4 linked regions of the Rattus norvegicus genome follow. The protein of the gene in region 1 purifies or fractionates together with the protein of each later gene. This does not show direct contact. Links are inferred from orthologs where the notes say so. Each region holds a gene or a part of one and is shown on either strand. Other genes may lie near its edges. The genes, in order: Amot, Pals1, Lats1 and Mpp7.

Evidence for each region.
Region 2: the proteins of Amot (region 1) and Pals1 purify together in Homo sapiens (affinity purification with mass spectrometry; 6 studies listed by BioGRID and IntAct, counting the BioPlex papers as one, with this or other methods). This does not show direct contact. The link is inferred for Rattus norvegicus from reciprocal best matches to the Homo sapiens genes AMOT and PALS1.
Region 3: the proteins of Amot (region 1) and Lats1 purify together in Homo sapiens (affinity purification with western blotting; 3 studies listed by BioGRID and IntAct, with this or other methods). This does not show direct contact. The link is inferred for Rattus norvegicus from reciprocal best matches to the Homo sapiens genes AMOT and LATS1.
Region 4: the proteins of Amot (region 1) and Mpp7 purify together in Homo sapiens (affinity purification with mass spectrometry; 3 studies listed by BioGRID and IntAct, with this or other methods). This does not show direct contact. The link is inferred for Rattus norvegicus from reciprocal best matches to the Homo sapiens genes AMOT and MPP7.

The regions. Positions count from the first base shown.
Region 1 is NC_086039.1:113,782,302-113,785,869, forward strand, and holds part of Amot (angiomotin), read right to left. Parts: intron 2,898-3,568; coding exon 2,665-2,897; intron 1,573-2,664; coding exon 652-1,572; intron 324-651; coding exon 226-323; 3' UTR 1-225.
Region 2 is NC_086024.1:103,326,605-103,330,785, reverse strand, and holds the start of Pals1 (protein PALS1), read right to left. Parts: upstream 2,822-4,181; 5' UTR 2,728-2,821; intron 265-2,727; 5' UTR 108-264; coding exon 1-107. UniProt on the Homo sapiens protein: Plays a role in tight junction biogenesis and in the establishment of cell polarity in epithelial cells.
Region 3 is NC_086019.1:4,008,235-4,011,802, reverse strand, and holds part of Lats1 (serine/threonine-protein kinase LATS1), read right to left. Parts: intron 3,399-3,568; coding exon 3,216-3,398; intron 3,015-3,215; coding exon 2,908-3,014; intron 1,624-2,907; coding exon 1,114-1,623; 3' UTR 1-1,113. UniProt on the Homo sapiens protein: Negative regulator of YAP1 in the Hippo signaling pathway that plays a pivotal role in organ size control and tumor suppression by restricting proliferation and promoting apoptosis.
Region 4 is NC_086035.1:60,137,197-60,140,865, forward strand, and holds the end of Mpp7 (MAGUK p55 subfamily member 7), read right to left. Parts: intron 733-3,669; coding exon 553-732; 3' UTR 505-552; downstream 1-504. UniProt on the Homo sapiens protein: Acts as an important adapter that promotes epithelial cell polarity and tight junction formation via its interaction with DLG1. Involved in the assembly of protein complexes at sites of cell-cell contact.

The sequences.
Region 1 (3,568 bases):
CACATTCTGCTTAACCTATCTTTTTGAGGTACTCCCTAAGGATTCCAAAATAGATTGGAATTCATTTCTATGGCATTACTTATGTACTACCAGAGTCCAATAAAAAGTCCCTTTAGAAAAATCATCCCCACCTCCCAACCCCATCTTCACCCCAGATTAAACAAATGAAAGGGAAACATTATTAAAAAGAACTCTTGCTGATAACTCCAGCGCTTGATGTGGCCTTTAGATGAGATATTCCACCATCTCTGCATCAGGCTCTTGCCCCAGGATCTGAATGGGTGTCTTCCTTTCCAGAGTGCTGGAGTGGAAAGCAGGACCATCTGAATGGAAACGAAGGGTTAGAAAAGACTTAGGCAGAAAGGAAAGATTAACTTTCAGCAAACCATGTTAAGAACCATTACAAAACTCATTTCTAAATGGAACTTGCCACTACAGACATGCCTATCCTTTTCCTTACTGAAAAATGGCCTCTGCTCTTGACCATTCCCATTTTAGCGAGTGACAGAAGGCATTTCCAGAACATCTTTTCTTTCCTCTGACCCTTTGGATCATGCAGTGTTCAACTCTGTCAAAATGGCGGGCATCAGCTGATAGATGTACACCCGAGAACACCACCAGAAGATGCCTGCTAAAGAAAATTGTGACTACCTGGCTTATCTGGATTGCACATCAGATTTGGTGTAGACAGACGGCGTGGTCCGGAACTGGCACCTGGACTTGCAGGACCCTCAGCTTGAACCAAAGCTGGAGTTGGAGTCGGAACTGCAGTAGGAGGTTCAATCGGAGCTGGAGTTGATGCCTGAGTCGGAGTCGGAGCAGAAGCCTGAGCCGTTGCTGGAGCCGGAATCGAAGCTGGAGATGGAACCGGAGCCGAAGTAGCTGGAGCAACCTGAATAGCAGTAGTGGTGGCAGCAGCAGCAACAGTGGCAACAGCAGCACCAGCGGCAGCACCAGCACCAGCACCAGCACCAGCACCAGCAGCTGCACCAGCAGCAGTAGCAGCAGCAGGAGTTGGAGAAACGGTAGCAGAAGTAAGAGATGCAGCAACTGCAATCTGACCAGCAGCAGCTGGAGAGACAGGAGCAGCTGGAGAGACAGGAGCAGCTGGAGAGACAGGAGCAGCCTGAGAGATCGAAGTAGCTGCAGAGACAGAGGTAGCTGCAGAGACAGGAGTAGCTGGAGTGACAGCAGCAGCAGCAGCAGCAGCAAGAGCAGCAGCATTTGCTGGAGATGGGGTGGCAGTAGCAGCAGCTGGAGCAGCAGCAGCAGCAACAGCAACTGGAGCAGCAGCTACCATGATAGTGGTGTTGGTGGCAGCAGTGGCAGTGTTGGTGGCAGCAGTTGCATTGATGGCAGCAGCAGGAGCAGCAGCAGCAACTGGACCAGCCATTGGAACCGAGATGGGAGTGACAGCTGCAGTTTTGGTGGACTCTGATCCGCGCTCAGTTTGGGTGCTACAGTCGCGACTGCCAGTCTTCGAATGAGCTGAGAGTAGAGGAGTAGATGGAGGCACAGGGGAAGGTGTGGATGGCACAGGCTCAGCACGGTAGTCTCCACCCAAAAGAATGCCTAAGGGTGAAGCAAGGAACAAGAGGATGGGAGGTGATTTTTCTCTAGATACTGATTAACTATTTGCCCTTTTCGGGAATTGAGGAAAAGAAAATATTTGATAGTTTTCTTCCAAACGTGATTGGTTTTGCCTCTAGTGAACCTCTGGGATCCTCTCTCTCTTACATCCCAGCTAAGAGTTGCTTTTGGACTTAGATCCCTTCTTGTCTTTATTATTCAATTAACAACATAACATTAAACCTCTAAGTGTCCTGGGTATCAGTTACACTTCTTTTTCATTAGTGATTTCGGAAGACCAACTTGTCAGAGGTCTTTTTTTTGTACCAGTCATAATACCCCACATTCACCAGAGAGATGAAAATAACTCAGTGGCATGGGGAGTCTGTGGATACCAATAAGGGTGTTTTGAGTTGTGTAACGTACGGTTCCAAACATGACCAGGGCTCAAAGAACTCTGACTAAAGGATACTGCATTCATTGGATCAAGAAAGGAGTTAAAAACACCAAAAGATTTGAAATATATCATTTGTTTGCTTCCTTTGGATCAAAAATGTGTCTCAGTATGTAAGGTACTCCGAGGCTTTAATTAGAGGGGATAAAATGGACAGGAATTGAACGAAGAAGTACATTCTGTTCTCTTATCTGAACATTCTGGTAAGAAAAGCTGACACGTGACTTCATTAGCCTTAAGAGAATTTTGGGTCCTCTTTCCATAGGAGAGGAAGGAACATAGCGATGCTGTAATTTTGAATTTTGCCTGAGATAAAGTCCATTTGAGTTTTGAACAAAGTTCCCATGTGGCAAAAGCCAAATACAAGAATTTTTTTTTTTTTACATAAAAGTCAAGTTCGGTTCTTTCCCAACCCTAAAGAACACAGGATTCTCATATTTTCAGTCTTTCAGTTACTGTTCTCACCATGAGACTTCAGAGTCCTCCTTATGCATCTAGTTCCATGAGGAGAAAAAAATAACCCCAAACTCTCCTCTCTAGAAGCTGGACCATTGTCCTTTTCCTTGCTGCGTGGAACAGAGCCATGATACTTTCTAGGTATGTCACTGTACCCTTGCTTCTGTTCCTATCATTTTTCTTACCTAGGCTCCCCTTCCAGCTCTTGTCGTCTCGCTTCTCCTCCATGATGGGCACACCAGTCAATGTAGATGAGTGTACAAGCAGGCCTGATCCAGCATTGGAAATGGACATCAGAGACTTCGCTGGCCGCATGGATGACAGTTGCTCTGTCTTACTAGGCTCCTTTCTGGAGCGCTGCTGCAGCACCTTGATCATGGCATCCTTTTCAATAATCTGCGCATGGAGGGTCTTAATCCTAGGAGACAAAGAAAAAGCACACACAGAGACTTGGTTACTACTTCTCCATTCTAATCTCACCGCCTACATGGATTTGTATTCCTATTATCCTTTCTATTAAGGGCTGGTGTAGTGAATTCTTAGTTGGAGGCAAGGGTCAGTGTGTTAAGGCTTAAAGGAAAATAAAATAGCACATCCTCTGGACTGCCAAGTAGACATAAGAGAGCATCTAAAAATTTCTGTGGACACCCTAGAAGATCAAAGTCAAATATTGGCAAATAGAAAGGCCATGTATGAAAGAAGTCATTCTCTAGTAAAGGAGTATGTCCATAATAACAGTAAGTTCAGTGAGAAGATAAGAGTCTTCTACTAGTAAGGCATGACTTCCAGGTAGTAATAAATGACACTGAGTCTATAAAAGACACTGGGTGCCATAATCCCCAGATATTTTGTTGACAGATTATCTGTATTATAGAATTATTGCTACAAGGAATACCTCAGAATGGAATACAAATGGAAAACAATTATAAAATCCAGGAAAAAGCAACCCTACCTGGAACTCCACAGTTAGCAAGAATGTTCATTATTAAGGCCATCACATCAAACCTTAGGTAACAGACTGGCAGGGGTAAAGAGGTAGGAGGTCGGCAGGCTACACAATCAAGTTCATCATTTCTGAATAAACAGCTT
Region 2 (4,181 bases), on another chromosome or scaffold:
GCCATCTCTCTGTGTTTCGGATGTTCCTCTGGTGATGCAAGACCAAGATTTTTTATTCCGCTGTCTGATTCCTCTGTCACATGCCCATTCATATACGATGTTGTCATGGTTATCTATAAAAACCTCTATCACTTTTTATATATCAAAATTTCCTATAAAGCCAATTCTCTTGATTCTGTAGTATAAAATCCATGTTACTTCAAAAAAGAAAAATAACTTCTCATATCACATAATAATGCTATGAAATGTATCCATGAGGCAAATCTAAGAGGGAAAGATGGAGGGAAAAGTGTAAGAATTGTAATATAAAAACAAACTTTATATAGCCCATTTCCAATTTCTACACAATATAGAGAATATCAGGTACTTGATATAGTTATTAATACAGACTCCAATGTTGAGGACATTGACTATTTTTTTTTAAAGTTGCCTCTCAAAACTATGAAGCGTACTGTTTGATCTTGCAGCTAAGAAAACTGATACACTGAAAAGTTTAGCAAAGTGAGAAAAGTGAATTGGTTTGCTATAAGTTTTGTAGAGAATAGGTGCTTTGTGGATAGACATTTCAACAGCAACTTTAAATATCTCAACTTTATGCTTAATTAAAACACAGAGTTAGTACCTGTGAGAACAGCTGATTATAATTTAGTACATAGCACAAGCCATCTTAGTGGCTAACTTGAAACACAGAAAAGTATTTCTGGGTAAAACTATTTTTTTTAAAGTGGCTTTTGCAATGAAAAAGATGCCCAAAGAACAATAAGGTTTATCAGCAAAGGTATCCAAGGACAAAACTACATAGATGAGAAAAAGACTACACAGAATATCAGTCTTATAACTGGCGATACATGAAGAAAGTGAAGCTGAACCTCATAAGGAGTCATTCAGAGGGAATGGTATAGCACGTGTAGCAGAAGGAGCACACAGACAGGAAGACTGGACTTTCATTTCCCTCTACCATGTTTCCTAGCCTGTTGTTTAAGACAGCCAGCTTTTCTCTCAACCTGAGTAACTTAGAAGATTAACTTCACAGAACTTCTCTTAGTTTTAAAAAACATAATGTATGCAAGTTATAAAATATAGATAAGTACTATTAATATTAACTTGATTCTATATTAAGAGTCCTCCAACAAAAATTAAAATAAAAACGTATTTTATTCAATGGTACTAGCTTTTCATCAACCCACTTAGGCATAAATATGCAGGCTGTTTATGTGTGCAAACCCACACATTAAATTTAATTAGCTTCTTCTGCCCAGGCTTTAAAAATATTTACACTAATGAGCTTACTGCCTCCCTGAGCTGAGCATCATTTCGGCAAGTATGCTTAGAGTACAGTGCTGACTCAGTAAAATCCAAGTTTTCAGGCAGTATTCCTAATACTAGTCAACCTTCTTGCATATGTCCTTACAATGCAATAGGGAGAAAAGACAAACTAGGTAATACAGTGAACACCTACATAGGCTCTAGAAGAAGCACCAAGGCCGACAGTCAGGAAAATAGATATGAATTACACCAATGACTAAAATTATATTTTTACAGACAGATTATCCTCCACCTAAACTTAAAGTCTTTTACATATAATGACCTCAATACCATTAGATTGTCTTCTTTCCCATTAAAATGAGAGCTATGAAATTTATAGTAGGTGATCCTTAAGCTTTTATACATTATAATAATTATAAAAAGTATAAATTAAACTGGATACAGTTTATTTAATGTTTTCATTATAAGTGAATAAATTTATGTAGGAGTTACTATACTGCTATGGCTAATTTTAAAAACCTAGGAGTTTATACATTTTCAAAAATGAACTCTTACTTTTTTCATTTATTATTAGTGGATTTTAAAAAGTACATCTATTCACTATGCCAAATCATAGAAGAAAGCTATACATAATTATCTACATCAGAATTCTCATGGTTAGACTATTATCACACTTGTCTACATGGATCTAGTCTTTTATTCTCAGTAGATTTCTGCAACTAGTATTATCAACTTAACATTCTATTTTAGTTCTCTCTCCTAAGTTTTAGTTTAGTGAGAGACAGAAAAAGAAATTAAACGACTATTTTCCTCATCAGATTCTAATACATTAGAAAACATTTTCCTTATATGTCTTATTTTTACATGTCTAGTACTTAGCGTAAAATGTGTGCTAGAGAAAATGTCCAAGAAATATCTGTTCAACTAAACTAAGACTATTTTAAGTTCAAAGAGGATACAGACATCTAAAACAGAGTGATAAGAAACAAGGAAGTTATAAGGATATAGTTATTTGTGATGCATTTTTGAAGGACAACCATCCATACAGAAGTAGAACTGTTGCAGATAAATGGAAATTACAATGACCAAATGATACAGATGGCCGAATGCAAACCTCAATACCCAAAAACGACCATTTGTATAAAGCTAAAACAAAGCAGTTTAGTGGGAAAAATTGTTTCTTATATAACCTTAAGTTTTAGGCAGAGGGAGGCAGGAAAGACAGACTTCATATGCATGAATATGTTCACTCCCTAAGTAGAGTCTAACCCTGTCTCCCCCCACCCTGTTCATCTTCGCTTCTCTTTTCTGGCATGTAAAGCCCTTTGACCAGCAGCTGGAAAGTCTCATTTTAAGTGATCAGCATTCATCTGACATTTTAAGAGGCTGGACTATGTTACCATAGAAACAGCTTTGTCAGCTAATACAGAACTCAGGCCAAGAATAGCGAAAAGAACTTACATTATGCAAACTGGAAAACCTCGTCTTCAATCCTTGTTTCTCTTCTCTGTCTTTCCCCCCAATATTCAGGTTAGCTTTCTTATTCTGCAAAACTGAAAAGGAAATAATTAACTGAGTGTAAAAGCATGCAACTAACCAAGTATAAAAATCTGCAGTCTTCCACGGAGAAGTGAGAAGAAAGGTTAACTCAGCCTAACATTCAGTCTTGCAGATAGGATTTTTTGCAGTTATAAATGCATACTACTATCATCCCAGTCACTGACAGATAGTAATTAAAATCGATGTGCTATATATCAGTGTTACTGAAAATGGTAAGTAGTGGGGCTGGAGAGGTAGGGTGGCTCAGCTGTTACTGGCTGTTCTTCCAGAAGACCTAGGTTAAAGCCCCAGCACCCACAGGTAACTCTAGTTCTTCGGGATCCACCACTCTTATATACACATATGCAGGCAAACACCAACGCTGCAATCTTACCAGTTCCACTCTTAGGTATAAACCTAAAACATATATCACCTACACAATATACAATCTGTACAATAGTATAAAACATCTATGGCGATGTTATTAACATAGCCAAAGCAGAGAACCTACAAATGTCCATTAACTGACATAAATAACAAGGAACATATACATACACGAAATAATGAATAAATAAGAAAATGGAAGCTCTAAAACAGGCTATAGCAGAGACAAACCTCAAACTCAAGTTTAAAAAAAGTCCATCATGCTGGGCTTAATGACAGATGCTTTTATTGCCAGCATGGGTCTCTGTGTCAGGTCAGGCCAACCTTGGCTACATGAGACCCTGTTTTTGGTGCTATCAGAGGCTGCGTACAGGCGTGCGTGTGTCTGTATGTGTGTATGATGGCGGGGAGGGGGAAGGGGAAGCAGCTAGTCAAAGGGAGATGGTTCAGTTGGTAAAGTGCCTGCCATGAAACAGTGAGGCCCTGAGTTCATAGTCCTAGAACCAATATAACTTTTCTTCCACTAGGCTGTTTTTGGTCACTGTATTTACCAGCAATAGAAACCAAACTAAAACAACAACAAAACCATTAAAATTAAAACGACTAGCTGTACTAAGCACTGAAAGAAGGTGTGGAGAGACTGAAACTCTTACTTGATAGTTCATGGGACTCAGTTCTCTCCTTCTACTATGTGGGTCCAAAAATGAAACCTGGGTTTGAAAGGCTTACCAGCAAGCACCTTCACCCACTGAGCCTTCTCTTCAGCCCTACATAAGCTATTTTTAAAACTCACTAAACTGAACACTTAAAATCAAATGTTAATGTAAGTTTTGCCTATTTATCAATTTCAAAGGAAAACAAAATCTTATTAAGGTAGGAAGGCATCTCTAAGAGTCAGGTATACAGTTCAGTCACTAGAATTCTTCCTTAGTATGTATGCAACTCTGTGTTCAAATGCCAGGCAACCCCTCCCCAAACAAAATATTGTGTGG
Region 3 (3,568 bases), on another chromosome or scaffold:
GGGCCTGAACCCAGGGCTCTGTGTGTGTTAGGCAAGTGCTCTCCCTCTGAGCCACACCCCCAGCCCCTGGAAAATGTACTTTCTTAGTGAGTACATACACAAAAATTCTAATAACAATTTTACAAACTGAAAATAATTTCTTTGCTTAGGGGATGGAGATTTTTCTTCAAATTTTAAGATACAAATATTACAGACCTTAGTTTTTCAGTTTGAAAATTCAATTTATGGCAACTTTGTTCCCTTTTAAAACTGGAAACAGTTGGGTGGTGGGTGGTGGGTGGTGGCACACACCTTAAATCCCAGCAAATGGGAGGTAGAGGCAGGTGGATCTCTATGAGTTTGAGGCTGGCCTGGTCGCAAAGCGAGTTCCAGGATAGCCAGAGCTACAAAGAGAAACCCTGTCTCAAAACCAAAAACCAAAACCAAAACAAACCAAAAACAAAAACTCAAAAAATAAAACAAAAACTCAAAAGCAGCATTAAAACCAATAAAGAAACAAAACTAGTAGTGCTCTGGCTTCTTTTAAAGCCGGTATTTGAAAGAAAAATGCTAGGTTAAAGATTTCTGAGGAGGGAAGGGGCAGACTGCATTATTTCTAGTGAACATGCTGTTTTTGCTCTGTATTTGTGATTCCAGGACACGACTTCCAGATTAGAATTACTCTAGGAACAGCTTCTAAAATGATGGCTTGATTTCTTTAGCTCAGTGTGAACTAAAACCAAAGTTACAAGGGAAATACGGATATGTTTCATATTTGGTTAAAGCAAGATAAAACTGTCTTTCAAAAATCTTCAAAAACTCTTGAACATATATACAAAACATACCAGGCTTCTCTTTTTAAACAGAGCACTATTTTTTAAGTACTTTAAGTACCAAGAACTGACTACAATACTCAGTTCATAATTTACTTTCCTTATAACAATTTATTCTAAATTACTGAATTAAAAGGGTGGAATAAATTAACATTTTAAAACAATTTCCCATAACTTAGGAAAATAAAATATTGTACACAGAGCACACAAACTCTGTCACATTTGCATAATCTTCTCAAAACCTCAAAAACCCCTGCATTTCAGGCCTTTCTGCAAATTTTTACAATTATCTCCCAGTTTATTAAACATACACTAGATCACGGTTGTTTACATCTGAGCCTGTGTGTTGATCGTCTTCATCGGACTGCTGCTCTGAGCCCTGGGAACTAACGTATTCATATTCGATGGGCTTTGGATAATTATATGGGTAGCCATTGTCATCAAAGAACCTCCGAAAGGTAAACTCATAGAAAGCATGCTCAGGGTGCTTTCCGTTTTTATACCATCCGTTCAGAGTGTCGTTGATATTTTCTTCCTCGTTACCATCGCTCCACAACTTATCAGGGTCAACAGGGTCAAAATTGGACGTGTCTGTTGGGTGCGTGATTTTGGGGATGTATGAAGCAGACTGCTGTCTCAGATCACTAGAGAAATCAATGGTCTTAAAAAATGGATGAGCCTTTATTTCATCAGCACCGTTCTTGCCTAGACGGTCTTCTGGTCCTCGGCAAAGTTTGATAATGAGGTCAGAGGCTTCAGGACTGAGCTTGGCTTGAGGTGGGATGTGAAGAGAAGTTTGCCAGTTGATAACCTTGAAAGAAGAGTTTTAAAAATTAGGACGAGATGAAACACAACAATTTCCTAAGTTTTGTACCAAATGTCTTACTGGACTGCTTGGTTTTCTAAGTAATTTGCATGGTACTTTATCTTTAATAATAAATCACTGCTAAAAAAACACACCTTCTTGTATCCTCTCCTCGTAAGGAGACTCATAATAAGGTTGTCTGCTTTGCTTTGTCTGATATTTTTTGGTTTGTGTTTTGAGACAGGGTTTTTGTGTGTGTAGCCCTGGCTGTCTGGGACTAGCTCTGTAGACCAGACTGGCCGCTAACTCAGAGATCCGCCTGCCTCTGCCTCCCTAGTGTTGGGATTAAAGGCCTGGGCCACTGCTGCCCAGACATCTGTTTGGGTTTTGAGACAGGATCTAGTAGCCTTGGCTGTTCTGCAACTTGCTAATAAGTAAATCAGGCTGTCCTGGTACTCACAGATCTTCCTCTGTCTACCAAGTCCTGGAATTAAAGGTGTGTACAGCTATGCTAGGCTTAAACAGGTTGAACATTCCCAATCCAAAAACTCCAAAATCTGAAACATTTTAAAACATAAAAATTCGGGGGCTGCAGAGATGGCTCAGCAGTTAAGAGCTCTGGCTGTTCTTCCAAAGGTCCTGGGTTCAATTCCCAGCAACCACATGGTGGCTCACAACCATCTGTAATGGGATCCAATGTCCTCTTCTCGTGTTTCTGAAGATGGCTACACTGTACTCATATACATTAAATAAATAAAGAACATAAAAATTCTTAATGTTGATATGATATCATAAGTAGAGAACTCTATACCTGAGCTATGTGGATTGCACTCAAAAAGGAACTGGGGTACAACTCAATGGCAGAGCACACTAGTTTAGCATATCCAAGGTCCTGGGCTTGAATTCAACCACTCCAAAAAAACAAAACCATATAGAAATAAAAGTACACTAAAACTGTAATATAAAAATATCATCGTATTTGACATATCAAATGAACTTCATGTTTAAACATGGGACCTATCCCTAAGAAATCTGTGGGTCTATGTAAACATTTAAAAATCTAAAGCCAAAGGCAGATCTCTATGAGTTTGAAGCCAACTGATCTATATGGTGAATTCCAAGTCACGCAGAGCAACACACTTGAGAGACCCTGTCTGAAAACGAAACAATATCTGAAAGAATGTGAAATACTTCTGTCTCAATGATTCAGGAAAGATACATAAGTACACAGCACATTTAAAGATTCATGGTAGAAGGCTGAGGATTTTTCATGCAGGTCCTATACCTTACCTTCATTTGGGTTTCTAATGGTGTTTGTGCCAAGAAAGGAGGTTGTCCCACCAACATTTCAAAAAGAATAACACCAACACTCCACCAATCACACAGCTGTGTATATCCTAAAAGTACCAAAATTATTCGGTTATTCACAAGAATGCTTTTAAAAAATGTTCAGAATACAAACATTAGCATTAAGTCAACAATTTATAATGTATAATCAAGACTTTTATCTTTAACCTGAAAGGAACAGGTATATTCTAGAGTAAGATTGGCTGATTTAAAATACTACTGAAATACTTGTGAAAAAGTAGATGCTTCACCTGTCCGTAGTAGCACTTCAGGTGCTATATAGTTGGGAGTCCCAACCAGAGAGTGAGCTAGACATCGCTGGTGCTGGCGAGCAGCTCTCCGCTCTAGTGGCTTCAGTCTGTCCCCACACCGACAGTTGGAAGGATCTCCCCATTCGCTACTGAAATCCATGCTATCTTGCCGTGGGTGATCCCCTGTGCAAGAAAAAGAAAAAATCAAATGTAGCAGTAAGGACAACAGTAACGTCAAGTCTGTTTAACCTCTGGTCACGATGCAGGGCTAGTAATATTCTCCTGTGATGGGTAGGTGTGTGAAGGACACCACATCCCTGGCAGTATTACTATTACTGATGGGACTGCTGAGC
Region 4 (3,669 bases), on another chromosome or scaffold:
GCGGCATCACCGATATATATTCCTAAGGATTTCCTAAGCTATAATATGTGAGCTACTTCCTCAAGAAAAGATTTGAATTTCTTCTTTGTTTTAAGATGTGCATACTTAGGGCATATTTTGAAAGGACAGATCCTTATTTCCAGCCTAGTTAAATCTGTGGATCTGCTCAAGGCTGCCAACCCCATGCTTTCAACCAAGAGCATGCACAGTGAAGGGCTGTGAGTACACCTGAGCGCAGGTGAGGCATGAACTCTGATACACACTGCCTCTCACGTCAGAGACAGAAATAGATTAAAGAAAACAAGGAAATACAAAAGTTTTGCTAAAACTATAGCACTGTGCAGATTTTGACTTAGATTGTATAGTCGTGTGCTTCAAATAAGGCTGTGAAAGACATAAACAAAACCAGCACTGGAATTTTGACTTTGACATTGAAGACTTTACATCTATGACAGTGATACAGATTATTAAAAAAAAAATCCTACCAAAAACATGGTAGTTAACCTAACCATGCAACTCTGCAAAAAGACAGTTAAGGACATTTCCCCTGAGTTAAGAATGTAACCAGCTCACTGGGACCCAATGGGCATCAGTCTCTAGTTTGTCAAATGTTGTTTTTAGCTCATTAAATGCTACAGTAAGATCATCGTTTATTATGATTTTGTCAAAAAGATGGCCATATTGACTTTCCATTATCTGTGCTGATTTGATCATTTCTTGAAAGTCTTCTTCCTATTAAAAACAAATAATGACAAATTAAGTAACCAGGCAACTGCATCACATAAATGAAAACATTCTATAGTGACTTTACCTAAAGCTGTTATGTGTTCAGACTTTAAATGAAGTAAAAAACCAAAATCACCTTCACTACTTTTTTAGAGGTTTTAACTGCTAACACCAACTTTAATTAAACTCCCCTCAGGGTCATACCTAACTCACCATTACACGGACACATTGCTATTGTCATAGATATCAAGGGTGCTGTTGACTCTTATTGCTCTGGCTTGGCACTATTTATGTTTGTTCACAAGAAATAATGCATAATACAAACTACTTTCTTAATGTTGAAAGCATTACAAGATAATAGTTCAAATGCCCCTTCTGTGGTCCGGTAAAAGTGTTTCAAAAGCCCTGAGGGGCCACATAGATTTTAAAATGCCAGGTGCTATTTTAGCTAGGTATAAAAGTCAGGATTGTACATTAAAAAGCATAAGCCACATCCTCAGACTATGCCATCATTTACAAATTATGTTTATTGAGAGATAACTTTAGTGCTAGTCAACAACTTAAAATAACTAGTAACATGTGACAGCATCTGTCTCTTAAGGACAAATGTCATCCTTTTAGAACAAAGCGCAGGAATTGGTCAAAAGCAAGACCCATGCTTTATAACTAAAATCAACAGTTCACAGATTAACAAAGTCTAAACTAAAATTAATTAGATGAAAGAAAAATGGGGGTTAATATTTATTTGTTGGATTTTTTTACTCAAAGGTAAAATTTGAGAAAAATGAAAACAAAAACAATGAAAGGTTTGCCAAGAGTCAATGATGGGCCAGCCTGACTCTTAAAAATTAGAAGCCATCTTATTACAAGGTCAAAATAAGTTCATTCCTGTTTTCTATAAAATATAAATTTGACTAGGTCTTCACCCATTTTCTGGAATTTGTCATGTTCCACACCCTGGTAAGATAAGACGTTCCAAATAATTTTAGAATGTTCAGCCAAGTTCTTATGTAACCAGAATTCCTCTGGAAAGCCCCCAACCACTGAAAATCCCCTAGTCTTGTAGGTATTTTTTAGCTATATAAACCCTACCTTCTCCTGTGTTTCATGTTATTTTCTCAAACCCTGCTACTGGGAGACATCCTTATCTGATAGAAAATAAACCTTGAATAATTTTAGCAAAAATTTGAATAATGATCTTCATTTTCATTCAGTGAGATTAATATCAGAACAGTCACAAAGATCTGAAGCCATAGCATCTAATGGCATTTGTAAGAAATATGAATGTCATCAGGAGACAGAGTAGGCCTCCTGATCCTATGACCCAAATGGTGCTTCTATGTTGTGGTGTAATTAAATAAGCAGCAGAACCAGTTCCCATGCACTCTCACTTGGTGTGGATCCTCAGAAGCCACACACTCTGGCTGTTTCTCTGTCAGTCGCTTTCATACACTGTCCCCTTGGTGGGTTGTTACCAACATACATCGTGTTCTGCGTGCCATTCTATCACGGCACCACGCCATGCTAGCCTCAGGCATTCTATAGCCTAGCACGGCTTCCAGAACTGAGACAGGTTGTCTCTCTGCCCACCAGAAACTTGGTTCACATCCCCCATAGTCTGGTAAATCAAAGTTCTAAAAACTTGTTGTTTAACAATTAGATTTATATGTTAAATTCTCAATCTACAATACATCCAATTTCAAAGTTAAACAGCCTGAGTAGGCTATGAGACTATAATTAGTCTTAACCCCATCAGAAATCTGAGAACGACCCAATATCTATAAACATAGGAAGCCTAACATGGCTTCCGAACTGAGACAGGTTGTAGAGACTAATTTCCACTAGCACAGTCCCGTTAGCAACACATGAGAGCAAGTCTTCAGCCTTCTGGCCTAGGATCATCTGACAGACTTCTGAAACACAGAATTTTGAAGGGCTGACCACTCTGGTTTGGTAGAAATTATCAGTCAACTTATTCTGTAACGTGTCCTTCTCAGACAGCATTGAGTCTGTAGATGAGTTGAGGCGATTCTTGCCCAGTGGCTATGCTGTCACAAGGTATTACCTCACCTGGAGGTAGAGATGCCCAAATTCTTCGTTAAATCCACCACAGGGGACGTGTTAGGAGCAGATATGTCTCAACAAAAAATAAATAACTTTAAATGTCATATTTTGTGAATTTCTGTTTTGAAAACCATCTATCTATATAAGGTAATTTGGACTGTTGTCCATTAATTGTCTTAATAATTACCTTGAAAGCACGCTAACAATAAACTTAGAGCCATGAATTGGCTAACAGAGACGACGGAGGAAGATGATTCCGATCCAGGTGGTCTGGGTCAATTCTATCTTGTCTAGGTGGGCAGTTTCTATCTTTAGTAATTGGCAGTGAATTTATTCTGTGGATGTATTGAGGATGGAGAATTTAACATATAAATCTAAATGTTAAATTAAAAGTTTCTGGAACTTTGATTTTAACCATGCCAAAGAGGACAGCATGTGAAAGTAACGGCAGAGAGTCGGCTGGAGCGTGCGGATCTGGTTCTGTAGCCCTGGTGGAGTGAGAAATCACAGGGCCTGCAGAACGAGATATGTGTGTGTGTCAGGTGTGGTAACTACCGCCTAGGGGACCTTGAAGAGAGGGGGCTAAAAGGGAGACAGCCGGGAGTGGACAGCCTGGGGACCATGTGGCAGAGTAGCAGCCAGAGCGTGGGAACTGTTAGAAAAAGTTTCTTTTTAAATTTTTACTGCAACACTTCTACTTTTTACTGTGTTAAAATGTAAAATATAAGGCAACAAAGCAAATTATTACAGTTTTTGTTTAGACTATTAAGAAATAAACAGAAACTTATTTAGAAACATTTAGCTTTAAAAAAGGTTAAATAATATAAATGATTGGCTGAGAAAAAAAATCATCATGCATGCACCATAGTACCATAATAC